Arabidopsis thaliana: one gene and its partner. The protein of the gene in region 2 interacts with the protein of the main gene of each other region in a pairwise test. Each region holds a gene or a part of one and is shown on either strand. Other genes may lie near its edges.

Region 1 (4,431 bases), on a different chromosome or scaffold from region 2:
GCTATATAGATGAAGCAAGAAGTCATTTCATTCGTAACTATTCTTCCTCTCATTTCACATCTTCAATGACTAGCGGGTATCGTCCTCAGGAGGTAGATGAAGGAGGAGGAAATATCTCATTTGCAGAGGAAATCGCTAGAAGGAAAAGAAGAGGAAGTATGAGTAACAATGTTGTTGATGAACTGACTCAGTACTTATCAGAGTCTATAGTTCCAATGCAGACTGATGTGCTTGATTGGTGGAAGGTAAACAGTGGAAGATACCCGCGACTTTCCAACATGGCTCGGGATTTCCTTGCGGTTCAGGCGACTTCTGCTGCACCGGAAGAGATCTTTTGTGGTAAAGGAGAAGAGATTGATAAGCAGAAGTATTGCATGCCTCATGATAGCACACAATCTGTTATTTGTATCAGATCATGGATTGAAGCTGGTATGAAACTGAAGTACAAGTGTAGTGAGATTGACTATGAACGACTAATGGAGTTAGCTGCCACCGTGGCCGCTGATAATTCTGCCGGAGGTTTAGAAAAAATTCAACAACATAGGTGAGATTATTTTTTAGTATTTGTACTAAAGAACTACTGTAATTTAGTTGTCATACTTTTAGCATGAATCATTGAATTTAGAGTTGGGTTGATGTAAACCAAGCTGGTTAGCTTTCTTCATAACCGTATGTACTTTCATATCATATTAGAGAGAAAAAAAAACACAATGTTGACTAATTAATGGGTTCTGTCTAACTAGAAAAGTGGAAATTAGTTGTACGAAAAAAGAAAATAGCTTATCTCTTTCTTTGTACCTTAGATTTTTCCTTGGTATAATGGATATCGATATGTCCAAGTCCAGTGTTTGAGTGACCAAGTTGTTGCTTTAATTTAATCTAGTTCAAATACGACTACTTTTGTGTTGTACCTCTCTACCTTACCTTCCTCGAATTTTCAATTCGTGTGCTAGTTTGCCAATTGTTTCTTTATAATTTTGTCGTCTCTATGATTGTTTAAGCATATTTAAATATTTGAGAGAAAAAAATACTAAGAGTTCAGTCGTATTTTGAAAAGTCCTCGCACTCCAAGTTTTAAAGTTGAATTCATTCTGTCATGGAAACGTACCTTTGTGGTTTTTCATTTCGATAGACATTTTTTAACTCTTCTGATAAATTCAAAATGTTTTTTTACATTGGTTAAAATTTGTTGCCAATTTCAATAAAGCTTTTTTTTTACTCGTTATAAAATTAAAAACTTGCTGAGAAATTATAGTTTCATATATACTTTGGACCGACGGTCAATACCAAAAAACTAAAATAAAATTTTGGTCAAGAATCGGGTCAATACAAAATATCTCCAAAGATCGAAGAGAAAGTTCAACAGGATTTTAATTTAATTGGTGTTCCGGACCTGCCGGCGCCGTATTATAATTCTTCAATAAATTTTATATTTTGGATTGCATAATCAAAACTATTTGCATAGCAGACATAGATTTCAAAATAAATTGATACGTAATTAGCTATTTACATAGGCAAGACAATTTTACGTTACATATTTTGCATGCTTGATATTCATTCTTTTTTTTTAGCAACCTTTGCTATATTCATTCTATTTTTTCCCCTTTTTTTGCTACTATCAATATCATATCAGATGTGGCGGTTCTTATGCATGGGATTATGAAAAATGATATTATATAATAGATGTCTTCGTAGTATTTTTTTATTGACAATCAAAATAAAATAAATTAGTTTAAGAAAGATCAAAAGTCTAGTGTCAAAATGTCCACTGACAAAAGTTAGCAGTTTTTCTTTTATGTAATAATCCGATTATAAAAAATTGCGTTAAGGAATCATAATGAGCCATGTGTCAGTCATATTTAAACGACGACGTTGGCAGCAGCCACACGTACAGCCTCAGGCAAGCATAAATAGAGATGGGCTCTTTCCTATAAGTTTCCCACTTTGCAAAGTGTAACACAAACAGTTCTCTTTAGAGAAAAAAAGATTCTCTCTATAAAACCTTCTCTTTGTGTCTCTCTTTGTGGTAAGAAAACAGAGCAACTAGATCTCTCTTCTCCTCTGCTCGTTCAATGTTATAACGATCTCGAGTATCACAAAAGAACAAGATGTCTATTCGAAGAATCTACCGATGTCTGAATTCTTTAATCAAAAGATCTTGTGCTCAATCTCTATGATCATACGCCCCATTTCACACTTTGTTTCACCTCTCAGTTTTTTTTTTTGTGTTTTTTTGTCCCTCTTTGTTTCACTTGAGAACAACCCCCTTTGAACTCGATCAAGAAAGCTAAGTTTGAAGAATCAAGAATGGTGCGGACACCGTGTTGCAAAGCTGAACTAGGGTTAAAGAAAGGAGCTTGGACTCCCGAGGAAGATCAGAAGCTTCTCTCTTACCTTAACCGCCACGGTGAAGGTGGATGGCGAACTCTCCCCGAAAAAGCTGGTATGTATTATTTTTTATTATGTTTATTCCGTCATGTTTGAATATTCAATGTTGGACCTTTATTGGTCATTATTGCTCAATTATTTTACTTAAATAATTCTTCTAATTGGATAGGACTCAAGAGATGCGGCAAAAGCTGCAGACTGAGATGGGCCAATTATCTTAGACCTGACATCAAAAGAGGAGAGTTCACTGAAGACGAAGAACGTTCAATCATCTCTCTTCACGCCCTTCACGGCAACAAGTTAGTCTCTCTACCTCTACATTTTATACTTATTTTTTGTTTGCATTAACATTTACTAATATTGTAATCTTATATGTGGTTTTAATCAGATGGTCTGCTATAGCTCGTGGACTACCAGGAAGAACCGATAACGAGATCAAGAACTACTGGAACACTCATATCAAAAAACGTTTGATCAAGAAAGGTATTGATCCAGTTACACACAAGGGCATAACCTCCGGTACCGACAAATCAGAAAACCTCCCGGAGAAACAAAATGTTAATCTGACAACTAGTGACCATGATCTTGATAATGACAAGGCGAAGAAGAACAACAAGAATTTTGGATTATCATCGGCTAGTTTCTTGAACAAAGTAGCTAATAGGTTCGGAAAGAGAATCAATCAGAGTGTTCTGTCTGAGATTATCGGAAGTGGAGGCCCACTTGCTTCTACTAGTCACACTACTAATACTACAACTACAAGTGTTTCCGTTGACTCTGAATCAGTTAAGTCAACGAGTTCTTCCTTCGCACCAACCTCGAATCTTCTCTGCCATGGGACCGTTGCAACAACACCAGTTTCATCGAACTTTGACGTTGATGGTAACGTTAATCTGACGTGTTCTTCGTCCACGTTCTCTGATTCCTCCGTTAACAATCCTCTAATGTACTGCGATAATTTCGTTGGTAATAACAACGTTGATGATGAGGATACTATCGGGTTCTCCACATTTCTGAATGATGAAGATTTCATGATGTTGGAGGAGTCTTGTGTTGAAAACACTGCGTTCATGAAAGAACTTACGAGGTTTCTTCACGAGGATGAAAACGACGTCGTTGATGTGACGCCGGTCTATGAACGTCAAGACTTGTTTGACGAAATTGATAACTATTTTGGATGAGTGAAACTCATAATCGATGAATCCCACGTGACCATGTCAATATGATGTCTATGGATATGTTACCTTGATGATGTTGATGGTAATAATAATAAATAATGATGGTGATGATGACCATGCATGAATCATGAATGTAGTTCGTGTTGTCACATATGCTTGTGTTTTTGTGTTTTTTTTTTTTGGTCTGAAGTGTGTTGTTTCGTTGTAAATGGATTATAAATGGTGATGTAATAATTATAATGTTAACGAGTTGTTAACTTTAGTACTTTTATTGTGTTGGTTATCAGAATTTGTATCCATCCGAATATGAGATTGCTTTATTTTGAAAAATCATTCATTAGCTGCTGCTGCTGCTAACTACTAGTACCATTGCTATTTTAAATTTTAATTGGCAGTATTCCACTATTAGGTCATCTTCATCTGTAAGATACTTTAAAAGGTTTTAAAATAAAATAAAAAATTACTGTAATTTAATTTTGTAATTATTTTTTTTTAAAAAAAATATTCAATTATAAGCAAACACTTATAGAAATAGTCTTTCACTGATTATTCCAAAATTTCTCAAGAAACGTTTCTTCATTTTTTGTCATTCTCTCTCCTCATTTATTAATTATTTATATTATCTTTATCAAAAGAAACTCTAAAAATTGTATGGATGGAGATGCTCTGGTTTATTTTATGAGTTAGGGCTAATAGATTGAGCAGATTGGTAAAGAAATATATCCTCAACCAGTTTTGTATATTAAAAAAAAAACCAACGATTAACTTATTTTGTGACTTAAATCTTTCATTCTCTAATGTATATAAAATTCACCCTATCAACATACGAATAATATTCAGCAATGAGACCCACATAAATTTAAAG
Region 2 (5,480 bases):
GCTATGCCAACTGGGAAAAAGCGGAAGAATGAAAGGACGTTAATGAACAAAGATGTGAATGCCAAAAGATTGAAGAAAGATGTGAAAAGGTGAGTTCTCAAAGGTTAGAGTGGAGTGAGGAAGACGAGATCCGTGTGCTACAAGGTATGATGGATTTCAAAGCTGTAACAGTACAAAATCTTTCTAATGATATGAACGTAACTTACGAAATCCTTTAGGAATATATAAGCGTTGATGTTTGTAGCTATGCATTTGTAGAGAAGATGAAGAGTATGAAAAAGAAATTAATGGAGAAAATGAGGATTAACGCTAAAGATTTGTCTTCTTCGGTTCCGAGTTGTTGAAACTTATTTGGGGATGTGATGTGAAATTGGCTTGTTCTATCTTAAGTAAGTTATACTCAACAACAGATTTCACATCATATCTCCAAATCAGTTTTAACAACTCAGAACCGATCGAAGAAGACAGATCTTTAGCGTTAATCCCCATTTTCTCTATTAATTTCTTCTTCAAACTCTTCATCTTCTCTACGAACTCATAGCTATAAACGTCAACGCTTATATATTCATGGAGGAAGTTGTAAGCTCCGGTCATATCATCAGAAGGATTATGCCTTGTTAGAGCTTTGAAATCCATCATACCTTGTAGCACACGATCTCGTCTTTTTCACTTCACTCTAACCTTTGAGAACTTACTTTTCTTGGCATTCACGTTTTTGTTCGTTAACGTTCTTTCGTTCTTCCGTTTCTTTCCAGTTGGCTTAGCTTCACCAGAACCACCACAAACCTCCTTCTTGGACCGGTTGGTATTCGCTTTGTCCATTATCAAAAAATGTTTTAGGTTCTCTGAGAGGAAAAGAGAGCGAGAATTGGTAGAAATTTAAACCAACAAAGCACTTGACTATTTATTTACCTTTTTCTTAGAAATGTGTATTTTTTATTTAATATTCTTTTATAGATTTTATGCTTTTTTGTGATATATATAATTTTGAAAAGAAAATAAATTAAAAGAATTTATATAGTGACATGAATGTTATATAATGAGCCATAATTAAGTCAAACCCAAGATTGGTTCGACAATTCGTTTTTGGTTAAATTGATAGCAAGTGTGGGCGTGAGTGGAGATTCTGTGAAAAGAAGATGGAGTTTGTTGCACACAAACAAGATAAAGATGATTGAAGACAAATGGAGAGTCTTGATGACCAAAGAAGATAAATTTGTGTTGCAAAAGATAGAGCTTTTGCATGAAGTGGTTTCTCTGATCATTTACGTTGAAGCATTTACTCACTAGATGCAAAATGTTTCTTGATTTGCTTTTTTTGTTGGATTTTTCTGTCCAAGTTTTTGCTTTATATTATGTCATTGTTGCTTCTATGTTTAGAATCTGACCTCTATTAAATGTGAAACTTCATTAGTATTTTTGGTTACTATGTTGCTCTTTCGTTGATAACAACTTTGAAATGTTAGTCGCACCAAATTTAGTAAAACCGTTTTCTTATACATGTTACAAAGCTTGCTTGAAGGCTATAACAAAAGATTTCAAAGGGTTTAACAAATTAAACAGATACTAAATTTGTGTTTATTACGGCCCATTAAGAACCCAATTAAGAGCGATATTGGGCTAAGACTGATATTTTAATATTAAACCTATTACGGCCCATTAATAGCCCAATCAATATGTAAACATATGCGTCTTCGTTCCATGTCTCCAATCTTATTTCTTCTTACCCTTTTTTCCAAAATCCAGAAACCCCAGAGAAAGCAAAACCGCGAGCTCTCATGGCTTCCGGCGGCAAAGATTCCGATCGTACCTTAGGGTACATGACACGGAAAGATACAGAAGTCAAGCTTCCAAGACCTACTCGTGTCAAGAACAAAACTCCGGCGCCGATTCAAATAACTGCCGAACAGATATTAAGAGAAGCTCGAGAGAGACAAGAAGCTGAGATCCGTCCTCCCAAGCAAAAAATCACTGATTCCACTGAGCTTTCCGACTACAGACTCCGCCGGAGAAAGGAATTTGAAGACCAGATCCGTCGCGCGAGATGGAACATTCAAGTTTGGGTCAAATACGCTCAATGGGAAGAGTCACAGAAAGATTACGCTCGTGCTCGAAGTGTTTGGGAACGAGCCATAGAAGGAGATTATAGGAACCATACGCTTTGGCTCAAATACGCAGAGTTCGAGATGAAGAACAAGTTTGTGAACAGTGCGAGAAACGTTTGGGATCGAGCTGTTACGCTTCTTCCTCGTGTAGACCAGCTTTGGTACAAGTATATTCATATGGAGGAGATACTTGGGAATATCGCCGGAGCTAGGCAGATTTTTGAACGGTGGATGGATTGGTCACCGGATCAACAAGGTTGGCTCTCGTTTATTAAGTTCGAACTTAGGTATAATGAAATTGAACGTGCTAGAACGATATACGAGAGATTTGTTCTTTGTCATCCCAAGGTTTCGGCTTATATTAGATATGCTAAGTTTGAGATGAAGGGTGGTGAAGTTGCTCGTTGTAGGAGTGTGTATGAACGTGCTACAGAGAAGCTTGCTGATGATGAAGAAGCTGAGATCCTCTTTGTGGCGTTTGCTGAGTTTGAAGAACGTTGTAAGGAAGTGGAAAGGGCTAGGTTTATCTATAAGTTTGCTCTTGATCATATTCCTAAAGGAAGAGCTGAGGATTTGTATAGGAAGTTTGTTGCTTTTGAGAAACAGTATGGTGATAAGGAAGGGATTGAGGATGCCATTGTTGGGAAGAGGAGGTTTCAGTATGAAGATGAAGTGAGGAAGAGTCCTTCCAACTATGATTCGTGGTTCGATTATGTTAGGTTAGAAGAGAGTGTGGGGAACAAAGATAGGATCAGAGAAATCTATGAGAGGGCTATTGCTAATGTTCCACCTGCTGAGGAGAAACGATACTGGCAAAGATATATCTATCTCTGGTGAGTTTTTTCTTTCTCAATTTGGTTTAATGATTTTTGGTAATTACGCATTATCGATTTAGAATTGGAATGTTGGCTTCTTATATTGATCATGGTTTTGATAAGAATGCTAAAATCTTTGAAATTGGTTGTCTTAGGCAGAGATTAGTTCTATCATATATGTCAAGCTTTTAGCACATCCGAGTCATTAAATATATCATATATGAGAACAGAATCTTGCATTCCATGGAAAGCTATTGCTGTTGTATTTTGTTAGCTTATGGTTCTGCGGTTTTCTCAAATACTAATACTGATGTGACTAAATTGTGTAGGATTAATTATGCATTATTTGAAGAGATTGAAACTGAAGATATTGAGCGTACCCGAGATGTTTACAGGTACGCTAAAGTCTATATTCATTTACGTTTTGGTCATGGCTATTTTGTCAAATATCACCTGATAGTTTAAACTAACTAATTTGTCTTTGTCTTACTGAAATTTTCAGAGAGTGCCTTAAGCTTATCCCCCACAGCAAATTTTCTTTTGCCAAAATATGGTTGCTCGCTGCTCAGTTTGAGATAAGGCAATTGAATCTCACGGGTGCTCGCCAGATATTAGGAAATGCGATTGGAAAAGCTCCCAAAGATAAGGTAAGCCTATAAATCGTTTAAACTATGATCGCATTCCTCTCCTTTAGAGACGCAAATGATTTTACTTACCGTGGTGATTTTTGTCTGCAAATAGATATTCAAGAAATACATTGAGATCGAGCTTCAGTTGGGAAACATGGATAGGTGTAGAAAGTTATATGAACGGTATCTTGAGTGGTCTCCTGAGAATTGCTATGCTTGGAGCAAGTATGCTGAACTAGAGAGGTCTCTTGTTGAAACAGAACGAGCTAGAGCTATTTTTGAACTTGCAATATCCCAGCCAGCTCTTGACATGCCTGAGCTGCTTTGGAAGGTAAGTTTTTTAAGTCGAATACATTCATAGAATCGAGATTCCTCAGACTTTTGAAACCAATTGGATAATTGAAATTCTATATTGTTTGTGGCAGGCATACATTGATTTTGAGATATCAGAAGGGGAATTAGAGAGGACAAGGGCTTTATATGAGCGACTCTTGGACCGTACTAAGCATTACAAGGTGTGGGTTAGCTTTGCAAAGTTTGAAGCTTCTGCTGCGGAACTAGAGGAAGACGAGAATGAAGATGAAGACCAGGAAGAAGATGTTATTGAACACAAGAAAGATTGCATCAAACGTGCCAGAGGTAACTTTAAAACTACACATTATATCAGTTTTGATGATTCCTTGCAACATGTTATAACTGTTTATTCTCTCTATATTTCTTCTACTCAGCAATTTTCGATAGAGCCAACACATATTACAAAGACTCCACACCAGAGCTGAAGGAAGAACGAGCTACGCTCTTGGAGGATTGGCTGAACATGGAGAGTAGCTTTGGTAACCTCGGGGATGTTAGTATTGTTCAATCGAAGCTTCCAAAGAAGCTCAAGAAAAGAAAGGCGATCACTAGAGAAGACGGGTCAACAGAGTACGCATTGCGTATATATAATATCTCGATTTTTAATATCTTTCGAATGTGATTAGTTAAATGCTAAAGCTTAACGTGAAAAATTGTTTGAATGTTTAAACAGGTACGAAGAATACATCGATTATTTATACCCAGAAGAATCGCAAACAACGAATCTCAAGATTCTTGAAGCTGCATACAAATGGAAGAAGCAGAAGGTTGCTGCTTCTGAGGATGATTGAGATTAAGCTTTTTTCTTAAGTTATATCAAAAGTCAAAACTGTGAAATGTGTTTTGTATTCTTCCTTAGCTCTTTGTACACATCGTTTGGTTTAGCAGTAATTTTTGTTATCCAAGAACCTAACAAAACTCAAATTTGTCCTGTTATGTTTTGTTTTGGTTCGAATTTTCCGGTTTAGAAATTAATCAGGATACTTCTTCATTCCGGTTTATGTTCTGATCTCTCGGTTTGTGATACGTTTGAAACGGAATCTAGTTTAATCTATATATATACATTTTAGTTTAATCTATATATATATACATTTTTGCTGTGAAATAAATAATGGAGTTGGAACTTATTTATAATCGCTGGCTTATTCAATGCAAAAATTAACTACCAAATCAAAGCAAATCTTATTCAAAACAATATGCTCTTATTCTATGGTCTAATTATTTTTGCTAAAATGGTTAAAATATTTAAAAATTAAATAATCATTTGAAAGAAAACTTTAAATTGATTTAAATTATAAATCTTTTCATAAAAATATTATTAATAAAAAAAAAAAATTCACCGAACATGATTAGATAGTAAGACTAGATGGTAGGGCGTGTTTATAATATTATAATATATAAACTTTATAACAATTAAATAACTATTTGAAAGAAAATTTTTAAATTGATTTGAATTAAATATTTTTTAAATTAAAATATTATTAAAACAAAAATAACAAAATAATGTCTAATTTTACTGAACGGGGTTAGTGGTAGGACGAGTTTGGTCGATAGTATTACGAGACGGTATACCACAA

Evidence for each region. The genes of interacting proteins can lie anywhere in the genome.
Region 1: the proteins of AT5G41770 (region 2) and MYB51 interact in a two-hybrid assay, tested with the Arabidopsis thaliana proteins (one study listed by BioGRID).

What each region holds. Positions count from the first base shown.
Region 1 is NC_003070.9:6,387,458-6,391,888, forward strand, and holds MYB51 (myb domain protein 51), read left to right. Parts: upstream 1-1,941; 5' UTR 1,942-2,307; coding exon 2,308-2,443; intron 2,444-2,557; coding exon 2,558-2,687; intron 2,688-2,776; coding exon 2,777-3,569; 3' UTR 3,570-3,929; downstream 3,930-4,431. Other genes in the region: AT1G18560 (BED zinc finger and hAT dimerization domain-containing protein), read left to right, coding at 1-548. UniProt on the Arabidopsis thaliana protein: Transcription factor positively regulating indolic glucosinolate biosynthetic pathway genes.
Region 2 is NC_003076.8:16,716,243-16,721,722, forward strand, and holds AT5G41770 (crooked neck protein, putative / cell cycle protein), read left to right. Parts: upstream 1-1,703; 5' UTR 1,704-1,778; coding exon 1,779-2,938; intron 2,939-3,249; coding exon 3,250-3,315; intron 3,316-3,422; coding exon 3,423-3,567; intron 3,568-3,661; coding exon 3,662-3,880; intron 3,881-3,974; coding exon 3,975-4,188; intron 4,189-4,277; coding exon 4,278-4,473; intron 4,474-4,576; coding exon 4,577-4,694; 3' UTR 4,695-4,980; downstream 4,981-5,480. Other genes in the region: AT5G41765 (DNA-binding storekeeper protein-related transcriptional regulator), read right to left, coding at 310-641, 696-822.